Linked DNA regions of Drosophila melanogaster. The protein of the gene in region 3 interacts with the protein of the main gene of each other region in a pairwise test. Each region holds a gene or a part of one and is shown on either strand. Other genes may lie near its edges. The genes, in order: spn-F, js, CG15549 and BomT3.

Region 1 (6,017 bases), 320 kb from region 3:
ACGTAACAGTGCAGAACAGCTGCTGCGAACAGCTGTTTAGGGTTGCAACGTGCGCGGTGACGCAAGGCAGCCGGCTAAAACGTAGCACTAGAAGTGTGCAACGTAAGGCGACAAAGTCTGCAACCTTAAAACGGTAGTTATTTACGGATGCTGACATTATTTTAAAAGTAGTTACACCATTTTTATTGCTCTTTTTTGAATTAACATTTTTACATCTATTTTGTGCCTTACTTACGTTTTTCTATAAACATATCGATAGCACAGCTGTTTCCTCTTGCGCATCTCTAATCACGTTTACGTAAATTTCAGAAGAGCAGCAACAAGATGTCTAGAAATTTGTTTTTATCAATTACAAACTTTATTAGGAACTTAGAGAGCTTGTTCCTGCCACATGGAGGACACCCTCCTGGTGAGAAGCACCAGCCCAAGATAAAGTTACCCTGACTTACCCACTTTTTACACAGCTTTAGCGTTGGCCGGTTTTCAGCATGATCACAGCCCTAAATCCTCCCAGGAATTCAGTTTGAAGCAGCTTATTGGCGACGGATTGCTGTGGGCTGTTCCGAAGCACAGAAGATCCGTGGAGAAACGCCTGAAGCGGAAGTTCGGATATCCGGAATACAACTGGAAGCCTTTGAGGGAGAAGAGAAACCTCCGCTCCTGTCTGCAATGTGGCCATGACCACGAGATGGGAGTTCTTTGTCGTAAGTAGCCTTAAAAGTATACAAAGAGGTAGCCACCTTTAATGTTGCTCTTCCAGCCTTCTGCTACCAAAAGGTCCTGAAGGAGACTGAGCTCATGCAGTCGAAAATCCAGGAGACACTCGGTCTAGATCCCGTGGACAAGGAAGTAATCGTTCTTTATGAAGGCGAGAAGGCCGAACAGTCCACAGATGATCTGAAAAACAAGCGCATCGTGGAGATGAAGAAGCCTCGTCCCATGTGGTTCACCAAGAATCTGCTCCAAAAATCCACGCAGCAGCTGTCCGAAACCAAGGAAGTCAAGCCCTCCGACTTGGCCTAGATACTAAGCATCCATTGTGCATTAAATCCACACGTTCGTTATCAAATCGATGCTATTTTATTCTCTGTGAAGGATAAGGACCTTGCTTGCTTCAGGAATCCGTTGTTAAAGTCCTGGGCACTCATAGGTTTTCTACCTTCCACGCGTAACTGAAGCACTTCCAACTGACTCTGCTGAGCACATCCGATTATGAGGGATCTCGACTTCCTTAGGTAGCTGATGGCACCAGGTTCTTGGACGGGAACTCTCTTCTCCGGTAATCGCAACTCCAGCAACTGCACTTGCTTGCCCAAAAAGTTGGTTGTAAGGTTTTTGTAGCCATACAAAGCTCGATGACGAGTGTATATTTCAATGGCACTCAGCTCGGACCAGATAATTTCTGTGATTTTACTGGTAATCTTGGGAGCTGAAGGCAAAAATATAGTTTATATAGGTTCTCGAAGTGCTTAGATATGCTTTACCATAGCTGACCCTTGAACTATCTTGGGGTTTGGCTTCCTTAAGTCTTACTGATAGGTTGTTAATAGTATCCACAAGTAACTCGGCTCCTAGCGACGCCAAAGATGCATGCAGATCCGGCATGAAGACATCGGGATTAATAGCCACTTCTCGCTGAGCTAAAATCTAAAGCATAAGTCGTCAATACTACTGCATACAATGGTAAGATAAGAATGAACTTACATCACCGATATCGAACCGGTGAGGTTCGATTTTCATGATGGAAACTCCAGTGCTGGCATCTCCCTTCATGATGGCGTATATGATGGGAGCAGCTCCCCGCCATTTGGGTAACAAACTAGCGTGAACATTGATCATCCCATAAGGAAATCCATTGATGATACTACCAGGAATCAGGTGGCCAAAGGAGACCACCACACCCAGATCAAATTGCGGACACACAGAAGGATCTATGGGCCACTTTTGCAGGGGAAGCTTCTCCTTTTCCGCGTAGGTCCTCACACAGTTGGCGGGACTTTTGAAGGAGGTAACAACTCCCAAACGATCACTAAGAAAAATATTCTTATTAATCCAATTTAACATTATTGTTTAAAACATTTTACCCGCAGTTTTTGTGTAGCGCCTGTAAGCTGGGCAAGGAAAAATTGTCGGTACCGAAAAAGAGAATTTTTGGAGGGTGGTAAGTTCCCTTGCAGCGCTGTGCAATTGGGATTACATTCTGCCACACTTTTCTCTTATATTTGTAAAAATTATTGACTAAACTCTTGCCGCAAAACATCGGAAAATTTGTTGGATAATAATGCAGCGTAAACAAAAACAGCTGTTCGCGATACCAGCTGGTCACTCTACCAAATAACGTAATAGGAATGCTGAGATAGAGTGAAACCTGTTGAACCTATCGTCTTCAACCATGTAAATGGTGGTCTAACTTTATAAGATCAAGAGTCGTTATTTTTGTTTAAGTAATTAAACTTAGCTCAATACATTACTTTACTTTTATTTATCTGTCTTCAGTGACTATAGACTATCGGTATAGTGTATATTATTTTTTTAAGTTCATCGCACGGTCATACTAATGAGAACGCAATAAAAATTTGGAAAATCAAACATCTACAGGAAAACGTATATTTTTGGGATCAAGTGCCAAGGAACTCCAATACTGCAGAATGGAGGCATCTGCTGCCAAAATCACGCCTATGGCCAGTTCCATGTCCGCTTCCGGATCCACAAACTCCCCCTCCAGTGAAAAAATGAACTACGCACTGCAAGTGGCGCTGCAGACGATCAAGGAGCGGTGCATCCAGCTGCAGCGCCGCGTGGCCAGCATGGAGGAGGAGAACCAGCAGCTAAGGGAGGCCTCCAGCAGGTCGGAAGGTGCTCCAAGGGCAAACGAAATCGGGGTCACTGGGGACGTCCTCTCTCTGAAAGCACAGGTCTCTGAGCTGCAGCGCCAAAAGGAGCAGCTGGAGGAGCACATTGGCATGGTATCCAACGAGAACAGACGGCTCTGGTCCCGCCTATCGCAGATCTCCAAGGATCAGCAGCTGAACGCACTGCCCAGCTCAACAGACTCGCGAGCCCAGCAAAACCAGAACCTGGTGCGCTCCAAGACCTTTACGCAGCACTCCCCCAATCCTCACCTTCGCCAAAAGATGCTCTCCGACGGCATTAAGGATCTCAGTCTGGAGGAAATAGCCCTGGATGACTTCGGTGCCAGCAGTGAGGAACTAGGTTACCCCTACAACCTGCAAAAGGTGGAGGAAACCACTAGTGAACCAGATGCCAATGTGGATGCCAAAAGATGTTTGGATGGACTGCAGGAGCTGAGGCGAGAGGCCATGAAGCAGCAGCAGGAGCTCAGATCGGTAATGACTCTGCTAGAAAATCGCATAGGTAAGCAACAAAATGGAATTCATGCTATAAAAAAAATAACTTTTAACGCCTGTTTTATGTGCAAGCAGCACTCAAGCCCTGTCCGGAATGTGCCCAGAAAACCATCAAAAAACCGGAGATGGCCGACAAAAGTCTGGAAACGGACGACAGCCTGACCAGCGAGCTGAAGAACTATGAGAGCCAACACAATGGACACAATGGCACGCCGCCCAGCCAGAGAATTAACATAATACAAGAGAAAATCAAAGCAGATGCAGCCGACGCAATGGAGAAGACCTGCCCTATGTGCGGCAAGCAGTACTCCAGCCAAGTGTCCTTCAATGCGTTCCGCGAGCACGTCGAGATGCACTTCATCGACGATGCACTGGAACTGGAGTCGGAGAACAGCATTGAGCGCCAGTTTGAGTTCGTTTCCCATGCTGTGGGTGACTTCTGACCCAGTAGGCGCATTTATTTCGCCACCGAACTCTGACCTGACCGGAGAAATCCAAGGATTAAGGAGCAGTTTGACTGCGCAGGAGCCGCTTGTTACGTTTCTATTGATAAGACGTTAGGGCGATCATGTATCAAAACTATACAACATTGAACTTTAAGAAAAAATATATATATATTGTATTATAATTGCGGAGAGTGCATGAATATATAGATGTAAGTGACCGAATACGAAATACAGTTTAAATGAAAAGCCTGAAAACATGTTGAGCGCTCTCTTCGGTTGGTTGGAAAGTGAAATCGTGGACCGTGGACAACATAAATATTATATTATTAGCGCTGACAAATATTGTAATATCAAAGATGACGATCGATGTTACCATCGCTTGTGGTCATTATCCGATCTAATTGGCAGCTTTTCTGTGAGTCACACACTTTGGGGGAAGAGTGGAACATTCGACAAAGAAGTTTGGCTTGAGGCCATTATGCTGTAACTGGTCAGAGGATTTCCCTGTTTTTTTGGCTATGACGTAGTCGAAACCCGACTGGCAACGTGTGCCTAATCGGGCTGATCCAGTCATTCAATGCGAATATTTGCCAAAATATTGACCATAAGATTTGCCATTGATAGCAATACAAATGCAAATGCTCAGAGCTAACTTTCTTTTAATGCATTTGGAGTGGGTCGCAGCAGGAATTTAGCTTAAGGAAACATTTTAATTTGCCTATGCTAATAAGTTTGATAAATAAATATTTTTAAGACACAGGCACGTGGCAGCTCCCGTGGATACTTTATTACGTTACTATGAAATGCTCAGATAATGAAACAAATTATCAAATCTGGTGCTTATCTACAAGTCGTATAACTGGTAACCCCACCCATTCACCAACCAATGTGCATAGAATTTGTAAGAGTTCAAGCAACTTTTGTTAGATCTTTTCCGCATTTCCAACTAATACTGGGTTTTCCTAGCTCTCATGGTCTATATATTGCGATCCATCCATTTATCATTTCGAAAACCCAGCGCTGCAATTAGTCTGCCACTTGTTGCTACCGTTTGGGGCTAATCACGCGCCACTTAGGTGTCGAATTCAGATCCGATCCGATTCCATTCCGACTTCCCCCCAGACGCCAAGTCTACGTGGGCACCGTGCCCCTCCAAACTATAAAAGATATCGGGGTGTTTATGGCCCGTTTCAGTTGCTCGCAGTTCGCAGTGGCAACAGCATCATATAGAGGCCAACATATCTCCCGCACATTCGCGCCGTATGAATTATGTAAAATCGAAAACGCCGCGAATTTCAATACAAAGACACACGCGTCCGCGGGAATCCAATATTATATATAGTAATATTAGAACAATCACATCTGCGATCTGCAACAATGCAGCCGAATGCCTTTCACAAGCTTTTGTTACTACTACCGCTCGCCTATCAGCATACATCAAATGGTAATTTCGATCCCAGATCTTAAGATAGATATGTAAATCGAATGGAGTGATAAAAGTGCATTAACTAGCCTTCAATGGCAGGAAGTGATAAATGTGCCTCAAAATAGCCTCAAAGCGGTTAAAACACATACTAACTTCCCTCTAAATTATTAAAAATTGGGATTAAACGTTTGAAAGGGTCTTGGCGCACACCCATTACCATTAATTGTATAAGCTACTGTGATTAATCACTCTGCCATACCCTATTTTGGGTTACAGAAACGAGAGAAATGAGAGTCGGCTAATTCCGCCGAATGAAAACAGAAGTGAATTTATTCACGGTCTTGGCTAATAGGATTACCAGATACTGCTGCTAGATGGCTGAAAGAAAGTGAAAACGTCTTAGACCTAACATTTTCTTCAATTTGAAACTTGTAGATCATAAAGACGAATCGCACTGGGACTATGAGACGAACGGACAGAATTGGGGAGGAATTTGCTCTACGGGCGAAAGACAGTCACCCATTTCGTTAAACGTCCAAAAAGTAAGTAACAAATACATATGACACCACTTATGATCAGAATTAGTTAGAGTTCCTTTGCAATGATTTAATGATTTGAACAGCCTTACATTCCTAATCAACTATTTGTTGGTCTTTAGCTTCAGACCTAGTTTAAAGTGATGTAAAGAAATCAATTAAATTTAAAATGTGTATCACCAAATTCGTATTAATTATGCGTGCCAAAACTCAGCCTTATTTCATATGCGCATCTATTTAA
Region 2 (7,133 bases), about 15 Mb from region 3:
CAACATTTTCCGCCGTTGCTCAAAGAAGTGACTTGGGAAGTTCGGAAGGTTCGGTGGCAAACACAACGAACATTTGTCGGTGGTGCCTCCACTGGGGATCTTGTGTTGCAGAATGAAAGCCCTCAAATTAAAATCTGGTAAGCGTTAACTTCTTAAGAATAATATTATTACTACCCAGAATGACAGTGTCACAGATAAAAAATTAAACAAATTAATTGACAGTATTTTATGGTAATTTGTACAATGTATTCCATGGCAGCGGCACCCCATTGCTTCGCACTTAAGCATATACGTATGTAAAGATACTTTTCAAGTCGTGTAATTAATTTGTCATCAATCGATTCTATAAGATTTACACATTGTAATCAGATTAACAAGTTAATATACATAAATTTGCATACCTTGATTTTAGATTATAGTCATAATTCCTTTCTTTATGATTAATTTTAATTTTAATCTTTAAGATAAATTTCAAATGATTGTTGGGGTACATTTTCTATTTCATTTATGAATAGGAGTTCTTGTTGAAATAGATTAATGTAAGCTCATCAACGAATCGGTCAAAATATTTTAATTAAAACTGGAAAACAGAAAGCAAGTTTTCTTGACTTGCCTTTTAACTTGCAATTTATTAAGATACATACATATACATTGTATACAAAAATGTGGTATCTATTAAAAAAACGTAATTAGAATTTGATTTAAGAACCAATTTGATTTACCAACCAAGTTCGGTTGATATTCAATATTTTGAAATTGGTAAAGGGTTTTAATGGGCAGGCAATACTAATGGAAAGAATTTCCCAACCACTTTTGGCTAACACTTCTGAGACTCAATTGAAGGGTCACGCTTTGAATGATAATGATAGTCACAGTCTTAACGGATTAACATTTCTGTGGATAGTTTTATTGTTGAGGGGCAGGTGAGAATTTACTGTATATTAAATTTCGCTAAATACACTTCAGAATGATCACTAAGGGGAAGCTTCATTAGCATTGATTGTACGATATGTTTACGATATTTTAGCTATTAATTATTGCAATCTTCGGAAGAAAGATAATAAGCACCTTCCACGCTGAACAAATACGGCGTTTAAATATTTATACAATTCCGCAATTTGCATTTCAATGCTCTCTCACGTGCACATCGCATTCGCCATCGGAATCTCCGCTGGCATATCTTTCGAATTCCCCGATTGAGCCCGGCTAAGGGTATAAGTCGGACTTACCTCACTGGCCAAAAATAAAGCTGAGCAGAATAAAGCCAGGGTCAAAAGTCGCCAAGGCGTTGGGATAATTTGCGTTTGTGCCAACATTTCGACGATTGTTCTCTGTGGCACTGGGGATTGTTGGGAGGGGAGGGAACTCACGATGTTGAGCTAAAAAACTGAAAGTTATTAATATGTTATTGAATGGTCGCTGATCACAATTGATGGGAAAGTGCACGCAGGGCATATAAGTTGGCGCTAATTGCCTTACACAATAGCGGCTCGCATCTTAATACCCATTCCTTTCCGCCATCCACCCATAGCCATATGAAATAGTAATGTGTCTTTTGTTGCCAATCTTTTGCGTAACCGGGCTCTGTTTACTTTAGTAATAACTTTCCCAAAAATATCTCCTCATAGGTAATCACCTATGGGTGATAACAATGTGTCTGCTGGTTGGTTTTTTTATTTTTTGTCACTGCGAAGAGACCAGTTGAAAATTTTCTTCGCCTCCAAGATGTTTGTTCGATTCAACGCTTTCGTAATGAATTGTAAGTGTAATTTAAAAAACATTAACTTCTGCAGTTGGTGCCGCTTTATTGACTGACAGAATTTGCAACGCTGTCGCTGGCTCTTCCCCCGTTTCTGTCGCGACCTCCACCTACAATTCAATTGTGCGACCTTGCCACTTGCCACTCCGCTCCTCGCCAAAAAAAAAAGAAAAATATGTAGTCACACCGATAAAACTGTCAATCGCAGTCGCAAACAAAGCTCCAAAATGGAAATTGCACTTTATGACCGTTTATAGTAACCAAATTGGTCGAAATTGACTTGTCCGGTAAAGGCTCTTAGCTTTATGAATTTCCGCTTGGGTCAAGAACGTCTCCGGTAGTTTCATAACGTTGTTCCAAGTATGGTTAAAGAGTTTTATGCCTAGAACTAATTTGAGTCTCACTTCGAGGCTCGTCTTGCTATGTAGACAAATTCAAAGATTCCCAAGTCTTTGATTTAATGTTGTTTATATTTATAAGCCGCGTCATCACTCGTTTTTGACTCAAGTAAAACATAAGAAATACTGATAATGTCGAAGAGATTATGTAGAAGCATGAACTTGAATTTAATCAACTTAAAAGACTCTGAGGAAGGAATTGGTTATAAAAAGAATTGGATTTTTATGTTGCGCTAATGCGGTATAACGATCAAAACATTAGGCAATAAACTTTACTTTTTATGTCAGGCTTACACATATTTATGACTTCTTTTTGTTTTACTTTTCATGCACCTACATTGTTAACGTTACAAAAAAATGTGGTTTTAAATAAAAACCTACTTAGCTGATTAGAGGAAAATTGGCATAAATGACTTCTCCATGATTACTTTTTTTTCAAAGGAATTATATAGTTTGTAAGTTAACGAAAAAGATATAGCGCTTTCGTAATAAAATAATAATGGACAATATATTTCGCGATTTAAATGCATCAATAAATAAGGTATTAACATTAATAGATTCGCTCCGCCATTTAAACTAACATTTAAGTGTACTTTTGCAATTAAGTTTACGGGTAATTGAAATGTTTTTTTTTTTTTAGAGGCATAAAATGCCTAGCCATAATTTGCCCATAACAGTCGTCGTATAATTTATTAGGTTAGCGGGTCTGAGGAACATCATATCGCCGCCGAGCTGCAAAGTTCAATTGCCCAATAAAATCTCATACTTTTCAGCTAACGAGATCATCTGGCTCAATGCTAACCGCAACATTTGTGGCAAGTTGTGGCCAGCAGTCATTCGAGCCAAGTGCGTGTGGCAGCAGCAGTAGCAGCAGGAAAATGGCTAAAAACCAAAAGCGAACAATACTGAACTGGCATCTAGTTTGGCGGTTTTTCCCTGTCTTGACCTTTTTGACAACGAAAAATATTTACCGCTTTATCCTCCTCGGGTTGAACTCGTGATGCTGGTTGCAGTTTTATTTCTTGGTTGCTTTTTTCGCGGTTTTTTCTTCAATTTTTTCTAAGTTGCCTTGTGGCCAGTAAGGCGAAGCCTATTTGACATTTTTGCCAGCCATTTCCATTGAAAGAGCATTGCGAATCTAACTCGAAGATGCTCAAACGGCAAATAATAGCCGAGATGCAGCAACAATTATGCCAATTAGTTGGCATTACAGGTTGATTACGATTACGGCAGGGCCAGACTGAAGATATTTCGCCCAGCCATAGTTGGCATTTTTCTAATTGTTTTCGATTGGACCCCCCGACTGGATGGAGAAGAGGAAGTTATTAAGATGCAAGCACAAGATCTTAGATGTTGGGCTCGAGATGCCGATGTCGAATCCGATGTCGACTCCAACCGATCGGCGGTGGGCTCACCTTCGCCCGCGTCTTCAGTTGACGGAGTATCTTAAATTGTACAAACTAATTGTCGCCGTAGGTGGTGTGCTAAAATATATTCCATATGGTCGCGGACCTTTTCACACATCCGATGCGAGTTGGTGATTCAGTGCGATGTGATCTTTGCAAAGATCAAATGTCAGCAGCACTCGGAGTGCATCAAGCTCAGATAGCTAATGCAATTGCATTGGCTTGAAAACAAAGTCAAGAGCAATCGCGCAACGCCAGCAACCGAATTGGTTCGCATAAATTATTTGCTTTGATACTATATAGACATGCCATCAACACTTTAGCACATCATTTCACAGTCCTTTTCGAATGGAGCGCGTCTATAAAACTTATCCAAGTTTGTATCTTGTATCTGACGGTTCGCAATTCGCCCGATAAAACACAACCGCTTCGTTCGAAGTCGCGTCTTAAACTGAAGACTCCGAGTGCACCCAGCTCGGTTTAAGATTCCCATTAGGCCGCCCGCTACAGACCAGGTCTCTGCTGGAGAAGCGCCAAGCGGAGCTTCGTCATCGGCGCACAGTGGGCGATCCGGACGCCCACATGCGTGAGAGGAAATTCTGTTCATTTGTAAAGAAATCTACGCAAATACTTTCAGATGCGGGCAAATAATCTTGCCAAATGATGTAAGTTTGGAATTTAGCAGCCGCTTTTAGGTATTAAACCATATTAAAGCACATTATTTATGAGGCTGTATAAGTTGGTTCATTTTATGCCACTGTGCCAAAACTTCTCGGCCAGTTAACGAAGTTCAATCGGGTTTTTTGAGCCCCTCAGCCAGCGAAGCGTTTGCATTGCAGCTTCATTTTCAGTTTTTCAGCTTTTCAGCTAGATTCTCAGTTTCAATTTACCGTTAACTGCTACGTTTTCATTTTCATTGCACGTTATTAGCATTTGCAATGCCACCGTTTAGGGCAACCCTTCACCCACCGGTGTTTATTTGTCTAATTTATTGGAACGTTTACGTTAAAGCCACTTTGGCAGATGGGTAAGGGGGCAACAAAAGAAGTGGGCTAAATAGAGCAATCGAGCACGGCTAAAAGAGATCTGCACCAGATTGGGCGCCAAATTGTGAAATCATTTTCCCCATCTCAGATTTGCTCGATTCGGCTGGCTTTTTTGGCGGCATCGTTGTCAGATTTCTGGCGGCTGGGTTTTGTAAGCGAAGATTTCCATTTTCCATTTTCATCTTCGTTTTTCGATTCAAATCGTTTATTTACTCCTCAAAGCCCTTTTGTCGCGGAAAAGACAGAAAAACAGACAAGGCGGTTTGGGGCACTGAGGTTTTCATCGCAGTCGTGTGTTGCCCCATTCAGTTGCTGGATTTCATTTTCGATGGGCGTTGGGTTTCACCCATCCATTCCCCCTCCTTTCCCCTTCACCTTTACCACTTTAGCCATTTTCATTTTCGTGATGGAACTGAGAGGAAGCTAAAGTCGAGAGTGTCGGGAGTCAATCGATGGTTTTCTTCCTTTTTTTTTGGTTTGTTTTGTACTGTTTTCAAAAATAAAGAAAATAACACATATACATATAAACATTTTGTAGACCTTGTAACCTGGAATTTAGTTAGTTATCTCCTGGATACCTGGGACTAGCCTACGCGGACTTGGGGGTACTCGATCCATCCTGGATCCCCGGCTTTAGCTCCTGGTTCTTCATGTCCAGCGAATGCTGCTGGAAATCGGACAGGATGCGGCTCTCGGGGATGTCCGTCTCCACGCGGCTGCCCACTATGTCTATCTCGCTATCTTTTTTATCAAAAAATATGTCGATGATTATACGCACGCCTTTGAAGGAAACATTATTAATTTTCCGAAAATAATAGAAAAATGTAATTAAAAAAATTGTAAATAAGTTTAAGTTATATATACATTTTCTGTATGGGCTAATCTTATTTTTTATGTAAATTATTTTATAGTTCACCCACCTTTATTAGTGTGTCGAATTGTAGTTTTGCTTTGATAGGACCTTTCTACTGTATTCGGATCAGACGGAAGCTCAGTATTGGCCGATTGGAAGACTGCAGACTCCTTGTTCACTCGGAGGATACTCTCACTGTAGTTAGATTGACTGGTTAGTCGAGGAAGTGTAAAAGGCGCGCCTAAACTATTACTTTTCTTTTTCCTTGTCGTCCGACATGGACATGTTGCAAAGGCTACTACCGCCCTCAAGATCCGTCCTCTGGTTTTCCTCTGACATGGCGCCAAAGTAAAGGGACTTGGCCATCTCCAGTTCCTGGTTCTTTTGAGTGGCAAAGTTGTAAAGGTTGATCATGTCACGTACTCGAATGGGCGTGTCCATCCTTTTGCGCCGCCCTGTCTGCGGTGTTTCCGGTGTCTGGATTTCGGATGATGTCTGGAGCTCCTGGTCCCGATCGATCTCTACATCCTTGTTGGAGATGTTACTACAGTCGTCCTGAGGGTTGATGGTGTTGGTGTTCATGGTGTTGGTGCTTGAAAGTTTCTAGCTCTCCCTAAACAAAAGTAATTACTACAACTGCGTCGAAAGTTTCTAGTTGAGTTCAAGACTTCCGATTTTTCAGTTGTTCGAAAAGTTCTGATAACCTCCCGTGTATGTGGGAAAGTAGTAACTGACTCAAAATTCGATTTAGACAATTTCACTTGAATATGACCTTTACCTCAGGGAGATATTTTGATCGTGTGTTGTGTGTGTATTTGTAATACATCATGTGGGTTCCTGCCTGCAATTCGTTAGCAATTACAGTAACGAAATGTAAATGTAATTCATCTTCGAGCTGCCGAAGACGAATCGATAGAGGGCGACCTTCAGTGCGGCATTCGAAACCCGAATTCGATCGATCGGATGATTGATCCCACAGAGGGGGCAGTGATTGAGGAAGGTTTGGTGATTAGTGAAATTTGAGCCACACGCTGAATGCCAATGGAATTGTCTTAGATCGGATTTAATGCAAGCTTTTTTACTCATATTTTCCCCATTTTTTCGTGCATCAGTGTGTGAGTTATTAATATTTTGAAATTGGGTGAGCAATGACTTGCCGATGCCACAGAAGCAGCATTACCGTACCAGCAGTATCATCACTCGGTAGCTTGCCAGCGGACAGCTGGAGGTCCATTTGACACACCATCCCTACCAAAAAAAAAAAACAAAAAATCCGATTTTAAGGTCAATCTTAGCGCCAACAACACTCGACCACAGCTCAAGACTCGCAATCAGCGCTGATGGCGCGAGCAAGGTTTTCGGCCAAAAATGCAAAAGCTCTTATTTAAATTGTAAATAACGGGCGCCAAATCAAACCATTTTTTATGCTGACAAAACAAAATCAAATCATTGATGAGTTTTTCTGTCACATGTAGTTAATAAAAGCATGTACTGCGCGGCATTTCTAATCAGTTATTTTCTACAAAGAGAATTGTGTGGACCGATGTTAAGTACACATGCAAATGATGAGTTATGGTTAAATTAAAAACCATAATTATTTTTATTAATTTATAATTAAGTATACGGGCTCTACTTAAATTGAAGTTCCAAAAGCTTTATTCTTTTGTTCAC
Region 3 (5,802 bases):
GCACTTATTTTACTACTTTGTGCGCCACTGCTTCTGTTCACCCCACCCACTTTCCGCCACCCTTCCAACGCCAACTGTAATTGTGGGCTGGTGTGGGTGGCAGGGCAGAGGAAACGGAAGAGGGTGTGTTTGTGTAATGGCGGGTTGCGGATGTCCTTCCCCCTCCCCGCCCCGGCCACTGCCAACGTTTGCCCCTGTCGAGTAACTCGTATTGTCATTGTGCAAATAAAATATGTCACGAATCGCCCACTCCCCGCATTTTGCTCCTTGGTCCTTGGGTCCACCCCAAAAAAACCGAAACACGCCCCCTGCTATGTGTGTGTATCTAACCTTTTGTGCCCATTGTATCCTTTGTACAGGACTCACACAATGCGAGCAAATGTTTTGGTTGCTTACGGGCATCAAGAAATGAGAATCGCTTTTATATAAACTTGGCTGAATGAGGATGGGCGGTTGATGTGGTTAAAACAGTTGGCCAGCCTTGATTCTGATCTGTGCACAGGCAGAAATTACCTATATTAATTAATGGAGATTCAGCGATGGTTAGTGTCAAATGAATTTCAATGAAATATCTAAGTAAATACCCCTCATTTCCTTGGATATTGTAATCTTATTGTTCATACTTAATTGCCCTACATTTTTGAGCAGACAAAATGTTCCTTTTCTCCCTCTCTCAAATTCATTCAAACGCTTTTCACTTGACAAGCCAGGAAAATAAACAAACTACACGGAAAGCCAATGGCAAAGCCAAATCCAAATCCATGATTTCAGCTGCCAAATCCTTTTCAAAGCTGCAGCCAGGTGAAAAATAACGAAATATCGTATTTTTCATACATTTTTATCAAATATAAATACACACTCGTATGGGTTCAATCCGCTTGTGCGGCCCAGCCAATCCGAAACCGAACAACTACACAAGTTTATAAAAGACACTCGTTGGCGGCCCTTTGTGTCTTTGTGTTGAGTGCTTTTTGGCTAAATGCGAAATCGATTGGAAAACAATTTCCAATTTTTAAAGAATTATCGCCGCCATATTCGCGCATGCTGTACTAAATCACACATAAGCAACCTCTAAATCTGCTACCCGGGACCCCCAGCCCGACCCCCCACCACCCACCACTCCACACACATGGGCAACCTTTTCGCAAAGCTTTTCCTTTTTGGCTCGTTTATTTCCTTTTTATTTTCCGCTTTTCCAGCTCCCCCGCCCGCCAATATTTTCCATTTCATTTTCTGCGCGGTTGGCAGCGCGTTTAGCTTTGGCTGCATGCCTGACTGACTTTCAGTTATACTAAAAATATATACATTTATATTCGCACACATAAGCTGAACAGCAGGGGAAATGAACAAAAAAAAAAAAAAAAACGAAGAACTATTAGGAAGCAGAGGGGCTTTAAATATTAAAGCGAATACTGTGAAATAGACTAGAGACTAAAGACTATAGGTTGAAATAAAATATTTAGTTTCCCGATTTTAATAGTCTCTCATTCACTTAAAACAGAAAGAAGCTGTGACAAAATATACACAATCCTATTTGCAACGCTCCTCTCTGAGTGCCCTCGGGTGTACCCTTATGGTTGTTATCTCCACCGCAATAGCTACTGAATCCGCAGAGGAGCGAGCTGGTGATCCGGGACCGGGGTCCGGGGTCTGGGAAGGACTTCGAGGACTGGCAACGCAACCCGCAGCCATTTAGTTTTATGTGCCCCGCTCGGTTGGGTTATTGCACCTTTGACTCGACTCCACAGCCATCTGAATTCCACGCCACCTTCGACTTGCTCCGGAGGAGGTGTCACCCTGGAGGGCATGTATCCACAAAGCATCTCGCATGTGAGAGCCATTTATTATTATTTGCTTTCAGCAAATGTGAGCCCGAGGCTCGGCCGCAAGTATTTCCTAATCAGGTTTTAACTACTAATAGGATTTCCGAGGTGGCGAATCGTAATTTACATGGCTTTGGCCGGAGATACCCAAAGAATTGAATTGGAATCCAGAGCAAAGCTGCCGCTAATGTATTGCAGATTATGGTAAATCCCTCGGCACTTCCTTCCTGATTCCCAGCCCCTTAGTCCAAGGACCTCATGCTCACACGTGCTCTAGCACTGAGTGGATCCAATGGAGACTCCGCTCAGATCCCTGAAGCGCCTGAATCGCTCGATTCTCCGCTGGCGAAGGTAGCGCCTTATTTCGCAGGCCGCGTTGCAGGCCACCAGGCCCAGCATGAGGGCCGTGATGAGCCCGGCGAAGATCAGCAGGAACCAGTGGAAGTAGCAGCTCATGGTCACTGGCCTTTGAAGCCAGCCGCTCCAGGATGCGGTGCACTCCTCCTGGACGCACCTTCCGCGCACATTCCTCACACATCCCTTGGCACAGCACCCGTTCGTACTGAAGCGGCCACAGGATGTCAGTTCGATCCTGGGATCTGAGCAGTTCACCGCCGCATACTGCCCCCAAATCCGAGGGATAATTTGGGCCAGAAGGCAGCTTAGGGTCAACAGATTGGCCAACATACTGCACTTTTTGCCACACGTCGAATAGCATGAATTTTGAGGATTCTCAAATAAATTTAAGGCTAAGTCAGTGCTGACTGCAACATGTATTTTAATAAAACTAAAGCAAATAGTTGGAAACTATCTAAGTATTGTATAATTTCATTTTTAATATATATGCAAGGTTGTAAAGTTAATATTTATAATTCCACTTAAAATCGGTTTTATCTCACTCTTTATCTTTATGTTTGTTTCTGGTCTCCAAAAATGCCCTGGCTTTTTCTGCCCTCTCCCGCGCCTCGTTGGCCTCCTGTTCCTGCTCCTGGGGATCCATAGGCGGAATATACTCCGGCGGATTCTGCTCCCGGGCATTTGGGATGAAGGGAGCATGTGGCCAAACGGAGGGCTTAGCCTGCAGCAGCCACAGTTCGTCAAGTTGGCTCTGAAGATACTGGACCGCCTTCTGATGGCGATTGGCCATGAAGTAGGCGCAGCCTATCCAAATACAAGTGATCAGGACTACGCTGGAGATGATCAGCACTTTGGTGGGTATGGATTCCAGTGAAAAGCTCCACGATTCGGATATCGCTGGCTGTTGAGCTGCCAGTACTTCCTGCACCAGCGAAATAGGGAACCACTTTACGGCGATCTTGTAAGTCATTGCGCGGAATTTCTTCAACTGAAGCTTTGGAAATCGTGGAGCTGACTTTATAGGCTCCACTTATCGCAAAGACGACGGGCCTTTCCCAGAACTATTCCATTGGGAGGAGAACTATTCCAATGGGAGTCTTTAAAAAATGTTCCAAATGATTCGAAAATAAAACAAGACTTTTGATATAAAATAAATATTATACTGCATTATATTACTTTCATTTTAAACAATCGTACTTACTTAGCCCTAGATATTAAAAGTGTGAGATTCGTATGTAAAGTTGGTTAAGTTTAAACTTCTGTTATTATTGCTTTCGGTTATTATTCCACAGGGCTTAATTATTGTGGCCAAATGGGAATGGGGAATGGCAGCCGAGTCTTGATTAGAAGTGCCAAATCAGCTCGCAATTCACTCGATTCACCGCTCAAAGAGACCGTAAACCAAATCGGCATAACAAAGTGATTCTAATGTAATTCGTGATTTTGCATAATTATAAAGTTAATAATTAAAATTGCTGCGTGCACAAACCGAAATGAAAACATTAAACTTTAATGATGATTTTGGGCCGTACAGGTGCATTGGTCATTTGGCATTTACAGGGTGGATTTGGCAGGGGGTTCACCACCTCCCATCGGCAAATAAACTAATGCGTAAATATTAGCAAATTCCACCCGTTCCCCCCTTCCCCACCACCAGCAGAATATCCACATAAATTTGAGACACATATGCAGTGCGTTTGTAATAAGCAATCAATTATTATTATTGAATTTCGGGCATGGTCAGGTGCAAAGAGGCGGCGGCGGGCGGTGGGCGTGGCAGCTGGTCAACGCCACTAATGCGTCTAATGAGAATTTAAGCACACTTCAACCCTCTCGATTCGATTTGAACCCAACCCATTCGGAATTTGGGGAATTTTGCGTGGATTTGCACAGCACACACAGCCCCCAAGTACAGTTGTGCTCTTCTCTCGGCTCCAAATGCAAATGCAAATACAATTACATTCGGAACCCATTTAGCGGCATTTCGGTTTGCTTTTCGTACATTTTCCAATTTGTTAGTCGAAACTGCGCAAATCTGTGATTTGCGGTTCGGCGTAGGATTTTTGAAATATGAGTGGATGTTACATATTCAAAGCCATATTATGCGAATACTATTATCGTCATTAGATATATAAGCTATTTGAATTTGTATGATTATTATTTGATTTTAAATTATCTAAGCTGTCTCATATCAAATATGTACAAATCTGAGTGAAAAAGCTAACCTATTTCAAAGTAGATAACCGAGTGTAGATATATCTCAACTGGAAGAGAAGTCATAATTATTGGGTCACCCTGATAAAGATCCCCAAAACAGGATAGTTTCCCCTCTACTATGTTACTATGTGAGGGGGTGGGGTTCGAGAACACCCCTCAAAGTGCCCGCTTAACTGGGTTTCATGTGACCCTGCTAAACCGACATCGTTAATGATAATTTAATTATTGCCCGGCATTTCGGGCTTTGGCGACTTACGCACTCCTGCGAACGAGAATCCTGCGGCCTGGCTAATTGCAGCAAATCTGCTTTGGGTCAGTTAGTCGTCCTTATTAACTGATAATTGCAATCACCTGGCTTTTGGCCACCAGGTGGGTTGGAGCCGGACAGAGTTGGGCGCATAAAACATAAAGCGACCAAATCCGCGACTATCGCCATCCGTTGCGAAGATACGAGCTGCAAACAGTGACAGTTCGGCTGAGCAGCACGATAGGAACTTAACTGGCATCGAGGGTATTGTAATAATAAAACAAAAGTGTCAGCCAAAGATATCGCAGGATATGCGCAATCCATATTGAAAATTGATTTAAATTTTTAATAGGCATCAGGCAGCGGCGGCGCTTTGATAAAAATGCCAGCACGCGGCAATCGCGCAATCGCGGGCTTACCTCTTCGCAGGAAGATATATCCAGATCCGGATCCGGAGCCGGAGTCAGAGCCTCCTGACGGGGGCTCTAGTTAAATATGGAAACAATATCGAAATGCCAACTGAAATCGGCTGAAACTTGTAAGTGAATGCGAACGCGACATGAATATCCATATCCATATGACTGCATGGCAGTCTGCATTTATATTTGTTTTCGTAGCTGTCAAATCATATTTTAATCTGTTTTGATTGCTGACTTTTGTGCGAGGGATTTGGGCCGCCTGCAGTTGCAGCGGAAAATATTGCATTTTATTTTATTTATGCAAAAAAAGACGGGCGAATTTATGTGGAAAGCTCGTGCGATCTCCTCTGCCTCCGCATTTTCCGCATTTTCCGCTCGTGACTCCAGTGGCTGTGTTGTGTGCGTTTTCCATTTGTTTCATTTGATGTGCCACAGTTAAGCAGTAAAATCCACTTTTTACGAGTTGTCCCCGGATTGCTCCGCCGGCCACTCCCACTCCGCCCCCTTTTGGGAGCTTTGCGTTGTTACTCATACGAGCGTAAGAAAGAAAACCAACAGCACGCATTCAGTCGCTGAAATTTGTCAATAATATGTGTCAGCATAGAGGTGAGCAAGAAGTCGACATGTTTATAGGAAGTATCTCTAAAAAAAATATTACTTAGTATACTAAATACCCCAAATAAAATAGCCATATAAATTTATTTTAAATCGATCACGTATTTGTTTTTAATGATCACGT
Region 4 (5,423 bases), 8.9 Mb from region 3:
CAGCATGGAAATTGAACGCTAATGGCTCTGCAACCATTACCTGCCCCAAGGACCCGTCACTGCGAATCTCAATTGCTGTTGCATGCAGCAGCGAATTTTGCACCTAACTTGTGGTGCTTCTTTGTAAGTGTCTAATTGAAAAAGTGCTTGGCAAGGCGAAATCTTTTCATATTAGCGGGGGGAAAAAAAAACAGTTTTTATGAAGTGCACTGCAAATATTAATTTTTCAGGAGGCTTAATGCTTTGGGCAACATCTTTAGATTGCCCACATCCTGGAGAGAACCCACACTGCGAGCCCTGACATCGACAAGGAGGTAATCCTGAGCAACACTTCCTTTGAGCCTAAACGAAAGGAAATGTATTCATTGGAAAAAGAATGAACATTTTTATACATGTGTATTCAGCAAATAAATTATTACCAAATTACTATTTCTCCCATGAATATATACTAATATCAATGTTTAATGGGTATATATTTAATAAAAGCATGATTTTCTTAGAAAATTAATCTAAGCCCAATGTGCTACTTCTTCCACTGAAAACCCGAAGCTACTTTACTGACACTGAAGATTTTCGATGTGCGCATTCTACTTCTAAAACTACTACTACTACTAAAACTACTCATTCTAAAACTACTGATTGCACAGGCTATAAATAAAGTAATCTTTAAGCGTATCTACTTTGAAATGGTTATTTTCGTTTCGAATGTGTAATTATACATGTGCTGCAAGAGTCTTAACTAAACATATATCCACGAAATGTACTATTTTTAAGCGTGCACGCAACCTTTTCTTAAATGCAAAAGAACCAACTTAAAGAAAGGAAGTCCTTGAAAACTGTTTAACAAAATGCATGCTATGATACCGATAATTATACTTAATGACCCTTAATTTGATTCCGGTTCATTTGCTTCAGCTTAGCTCACCAAAAGCTCGCCGAACGAACAAAAATCGAACTTGTAATTGTATCAATTAAGTGCTTGTGGATTCACCGAGCGGTTCTTTTGGTTCAACTTTTTGGAAATTCGATGCCCTTGCATATTTAGCCAGGGCAAGTCCTTTAATTAAGACTGACAAGCAGGATGGCTGAAACTTTGAAGAGCTTATGAATTATTTCCTTTGCAGGACTTTGACTCCTTCAACCGAACAGCACAGTCGGTTTTATGGCTTTAAGGGTATATTAATCATCACTCTTGAACAGTTGCTACTCATTTATACGTGTCTGAACTGAATTACAATGAATACCAATTATAAAATGCACAGGAATTAAGGATATTATTTTTAGAAGCTATAGGTGGCATGCCATTTATTAGTAGCGTTAGCTGAGTATTTGATAAGTTTATTCACTAGTTTTACTTTAACAGAGGGACTTGTTTTTAACCTTTAACAAAACCTAACAAAAGCTCATTCTGTAAGTATATAAAAGTAGTCACCGCTGATAAAATATATATTTTTTTTATTTAAGTCTATATAATCTAAGTTTCAGACGATGCTTGCTCTTCGCGCTTAGCGCTAGCAAAGCTTCGAGATTATAATCTCAGCCGCTTATAATCTGCGTAAGACCGCCATCATCGTAGCCACCTCCACCGCCGCCTCCGTAGCCTCCTCCACCTCCTCCTCCGCCGTTACCATAGCCGGGTCCAAAGTTGCCCGAATATACTGGACGACGGCCACCTCCTCCACCTCCGCCGCCGTTGTAGTATCCTCCACCGCCTCCGCCTGCGTTGTATCCACCTCCTCCTCCTCGTCCTCCGTTGCCACCTGTGTAGACTCCAGGTCCTTGGCCTCCGGGTGGATTACCTAATAGTGATATTTAAATCAGTTTCTTGAGGAGTAGTAGTTACTTAATTGCGCGCTAGCTACTGCATTTTTTACGCAAGCCAGCAAATGTACTATGCGCTATAGAAATTAAAAGCTTAAAGCTAAGTGTTCGGAATTATATTATTCATAAACTTAACCAATAACAAATGTTTAGAGTATCGTTAATAATCACTTAATGACTTTCGTTGCCAAGAAATACCATAATATAATAACAAATTGATTGTTCATTCAAACTTTCGCTAATGAAAACACAAAATTTCCTTTTAAACTATGCCTGATGTGGCAGCGACGAAAATCGTTGAACAATTTTTGAATAAATGGCCCAAATTAATAGGCATTGACTTACAGTCGTAGCAACCGCCACCGATGTAAACAGCCGCCTCCGTTAGAGCCAGTGCAAAAAAAGCGATAATCGCAAATGCCGTCAAGGTTCTCATTGTGGCTGGTCTATTAGAACGTCGAACTGGTCTGGACCAGGTACGAACCGCAACAGCAGCTTATATACGATGCACTCATCGATTCCGATTCCGATACTGAATTTGAATTCGAATTCAAACCCAAACAGACCTTATCGCTGCAAAGAACTATTGCTGTGCAAACAAACCACTACGTATGTATTAAGTATTAATCTCAGGGAATTGCCCGCGGATGGGTTTCAAAAACAATCTGTAGCGCATCAGTTGGTCAGTCGTATTGCATTCAAGATACTCTACGTTACCTTTTTAACATAACAAATACACAAAATCTGTAAAATCTATAATAAGTCAGACACTTTTCATTTCTACAAAGTTGCAAAGATTTATTTTTAATGAAATGTATTTGTTTTCAAATATATTTTTTGCTTTTTCATTGTATTAAGTATCTTATTATTTAAATATAAATTGTTAGCTTTAGAACTAAAGCTTCTACATTTCACTCACGAGTCACGACTTTCGGTTCTGTAACCAGTTTTCCTTAGATGTATGGATAAAATTTAATGGTGTGCGATTCTCTGGAATCGCTTGCCATTCATGTTTACGTCTGGGAATAATTGTAAACCGACTTTTCGGGGCGTGACTGTCATAAGTTTCTTTGAAGAAGTTCAAGGAAATCAACTACGTCGACCTGATGCCACAAAACCGTGTGCGGAAAACCCCATCGAATTGCGATTTGATAGTGTTCTAGTGTGAAATTAATTTAAATATATTGTTCAAATACAAATCGAAAGCTCCAAACGCTTAGGCTTATGCAAATCGATTTTGATTCGGATCGAATCAAGTGCCGGACTATATAAGTAGCGTGAGAGTCGATACGGTCATCTATCTATCGGCTTTAATATGAAGTACCTGACGTGTGTGCTGCTCCCGTTGGCTTTAATTCCGACTCTGATCGGCGGTAAGCTGGACGGGATTGCTGCTGACGCTAATTGATACACACTGAAATTATTTCCAGCTCATCCCAGCACAGTGGTGGTGAATGGCGTCTGTCTGACTTGTAAGTTGCGATTGTTTTGCCAGCTAGGCAATTGGACAACTTAATGAATAATAATATGCACTCGAAAAGGTCCCAATCCGAATGGTGAACCCGTCTACCTGGATGGCCAGCAGTACCGCAGCTTCTCCTCATCCCCTGGCGATGGTAATGTGGTCATTTCCCGTGGAAATGACGGTAGTGGCGGTGGAGGTGGCACCATTTACCGGAGGGGTGGTAATACCATCGTCAATGGCAGATGTCAGCACTGCAACGTGGATCCCTATTAAAGGCTTAAACAATAAAGTCTGAATATTGAATTAAAATTGCGCACATATCGATCAATCCATTTCATACTTACACTTGGCTATGTACAACATCATTTAGCTAAAAGCATTGACAATCGTTCAACCCAGTCTCTCTGCAAATTCGATGAATGTGATGGTTTCGAGTGCAGAGGGCATCATCTGATGGAGGCAAAAAATGGAAAAATGAGCGTTTTATATTCAGTTTTTGTTACCACGAAGTACACGTGGAGAAACATGAAACATCCGAGTTATTTTATGCTGCGAAAAAAGCGTGAAGAATGTTATAATTGCTTTTGGTCGAAATATTCAGTCCTGAAAATCAAATTTTTCACATTTAAAATAAGAATTTTTTTTAACGATTTCCAGTACCTCATTGCGTGCACTGCGAGCTGTCTGTTTGTGAACATTGGCTTCTCTCATCCTTCTCAAAAATAAGTGATACAAAAGCGTTACATTTTCAAAAGCCTTGGTTTCAAAACAGTCTGCAAATAAGGGAAGACCCACGGATTTTGTGACGGAAAAATAGAGAAATTCGTGCTGCCAATGGCATCGATTGTTTGAACTTCAGCTAGTTGCCACATAAACTGGGCTGGGAGCTGACGTCGCTGTCTCCAGAGTATTGCACAGCATCGATAATCAAATGCGAGTAACCAACCGTGCAATTTACGCCAGTGGATGTGTTGTCAATGAAAACGCTGGCCTGATGTAAGGGTGCTTAAGGTTGCGCGTGCCACGTGGCGTATACGTAATGCTACTGCAGGAACGGCAAACAGAAGCCTCTCAAATATTTGCTTTGAAACTAACTACTCGACAAACAGTAAACACTTAGTGCATACACACACACACACACACACACACACTTCCCAAGAATATTTTGTGCAGAAGTTTCGAATAAAACTGATGCTGTGTTTTTATATACAGAATAAGAAGGGAAAAGTTTCATTCAGGCTTAGCATGCGAAAACAATTAAAATTGTAAAAGGATTACTTAACAATCATACAATTTTGATTTAAGCGTATAACTTAAGAGAATAGTATTGATTCCCGGACATCCAAGAATAAAAACCTAAGCTTTATTTGCAATTAAAAAAAAATACAATGCATTGAAATCAATGGACTGCCCTTGCGGATGTGCTAAATTCAGAAAAACGCTCGACTGGCTTAAAATTCAATGAACATTTGGGTGGCATAACCATACCAATCGTAAAGGGTTTCGATACACTTTCTCTGATTTACTTTTAATACACTTTATTGGCAGAAATGTGTCGTTTCCTATCTTTTTGGGTCACAAATTGTTTACACGCAACTTTAGAAGCCCCATGAAGCTGAGGAACTCAGTCCTAGTCCAGAACAGGGTGGTTTATCTGCCTAGCAACTTAAGGACCTTGAGCTGGGGAATGTTCGAAATTGAATTTATGTTGACTTGTATTTGATTTCAGGTCAATTTCTGTTCTCTTGTGCCTAATTTGTGCGGCATTAGAGGGGAATTTCTGGGGCAGGTGAAAGGTGAGCCGATCGGACTTGTGGCAGCAGTGGCCATCTCCTTCACGCTTTTCAAATAAATTTTAACTTTTTTCTGTTTCGCCCCCGCAGTGTTTTGCCAGAAGGCAGAATTGATTTATTTGTACACCAATGTTGTTTGCCCTGGGGGCAGCGCCTTTGGTAATATTGTCACGTGCTTGGAAACTCTTATATCTGCCACTGGTTGAGCTTTATTTGAAAATCCCGGCCGCATAGCAAATTTACATAGCTTTAATTATTATATTTTACCCCCAACTCGCCAATGCTTGTATAAAGTCGCTCTTCTGTTTACTGCCTCCTTTTGGGGCGCCAGAAGATATTAATAA

Evidence for each region.
Region 1: the proteins of CG15549 (region 3) and spn-F interact in a two-hybrid assay, tested with the Drosophila melanogaster proteins (one large-scale study listed by BioGRID).
Region 2: the proteins of CG15549 (region 3) and js interact in a two-hybrid assay, tested with the Drosophila melanogaster proteins (one large-scale study listed by BioGRID).
Region 4: the proteins of CG15549 (region 3) and BomT3 interact in a two-hybrid assay, tested with the Drosophila melanogaster proteins (one large-scale study listed by BioGRID).

What each region holds. Positions count from the first base shown.
Region 1 is NT_033777.3:31,252,595-31,258,611, forward strand, and holds spn-F (spn-F), read left to right. Parts: upstream 1-2,532; 5' UTR 2,533-2,648; coding exon 2,649-3,375; intron 3,376-3,443; coding exon 3,444-3,811; coding exon of another isoform or gene 3,812-3,847; 3' UTR 3,848-4,065; downstream 4,066-6,017. Other genes in the region: mRpL32 (mitochondrial ribosomal protein L32), read left to right, coding at 325-409, 465-704, 761-1,023; CG1750 (uncharacterized protein), read right to left, coding at 1,065-1,429, 1,485-1,647, 1,705-2,029, 2,085-2,260; CAH6 (carbonic anhydrase 6), read left to right, coding at 5,192-5,258, 5,676-5,782. UniProt on the Drosophila melanogaster protein: Plays a role in oocyte axis determination and microtubule organization during oogenesis. Also required for polarized organization of the bristle. Required, with jvl, for activation of the kinase IKKepsilon in the germ line.
Region 2 is NT_033777.3:16,364,288-16,371,420, forward strand, and holds the start of js (jiangshi), read right to left. Parts: upstream 4,020-7,133; 5' UTR 3,573-4,019; intron 1,388-3,572; 5' UTR 1,317-1,387; coding exon 1,230-1,316; intron 1-1,229. Other genes in the region: CG10317 (uncharacterized protein), read right to left, coding at 5,199-5,389, 5,530-5,657, 5,716-6,044.
Region 3 is NT_033777.3:30,933,949-30,939,750, forward strand, and holds CG15549 (uncharacterized protein), read right to left. Parts: upstream 2,560-5,802; 5' UTR 2,511-2,559; coding exon 2,097-2,510; 3' UTR 1,448-2,096; downstream 1-1,447. Other genes in the region: CG15550 (uncharacterized protein), read right to left, coding at 2,719-3,150.
Region 4 is NT_033777.3:22,084,067-22,089,489, forward strand, and holds BomT3 (bomanin tailed 3), read right to left. Parts: upstream 2,332-5,423; 5' UTR 2,258-2,331; coding exon 2,167-2,257; intron 1,800-2,166; coding exon 1,537-1,799; 3' UTR 1,308-1,536; downstream 1-1,307. Other genes in the region: BomBc3 (bomanin bicipital 3), read left to right, coding at 3,137-3,194, 3,252-3,293, 3,363-3,559.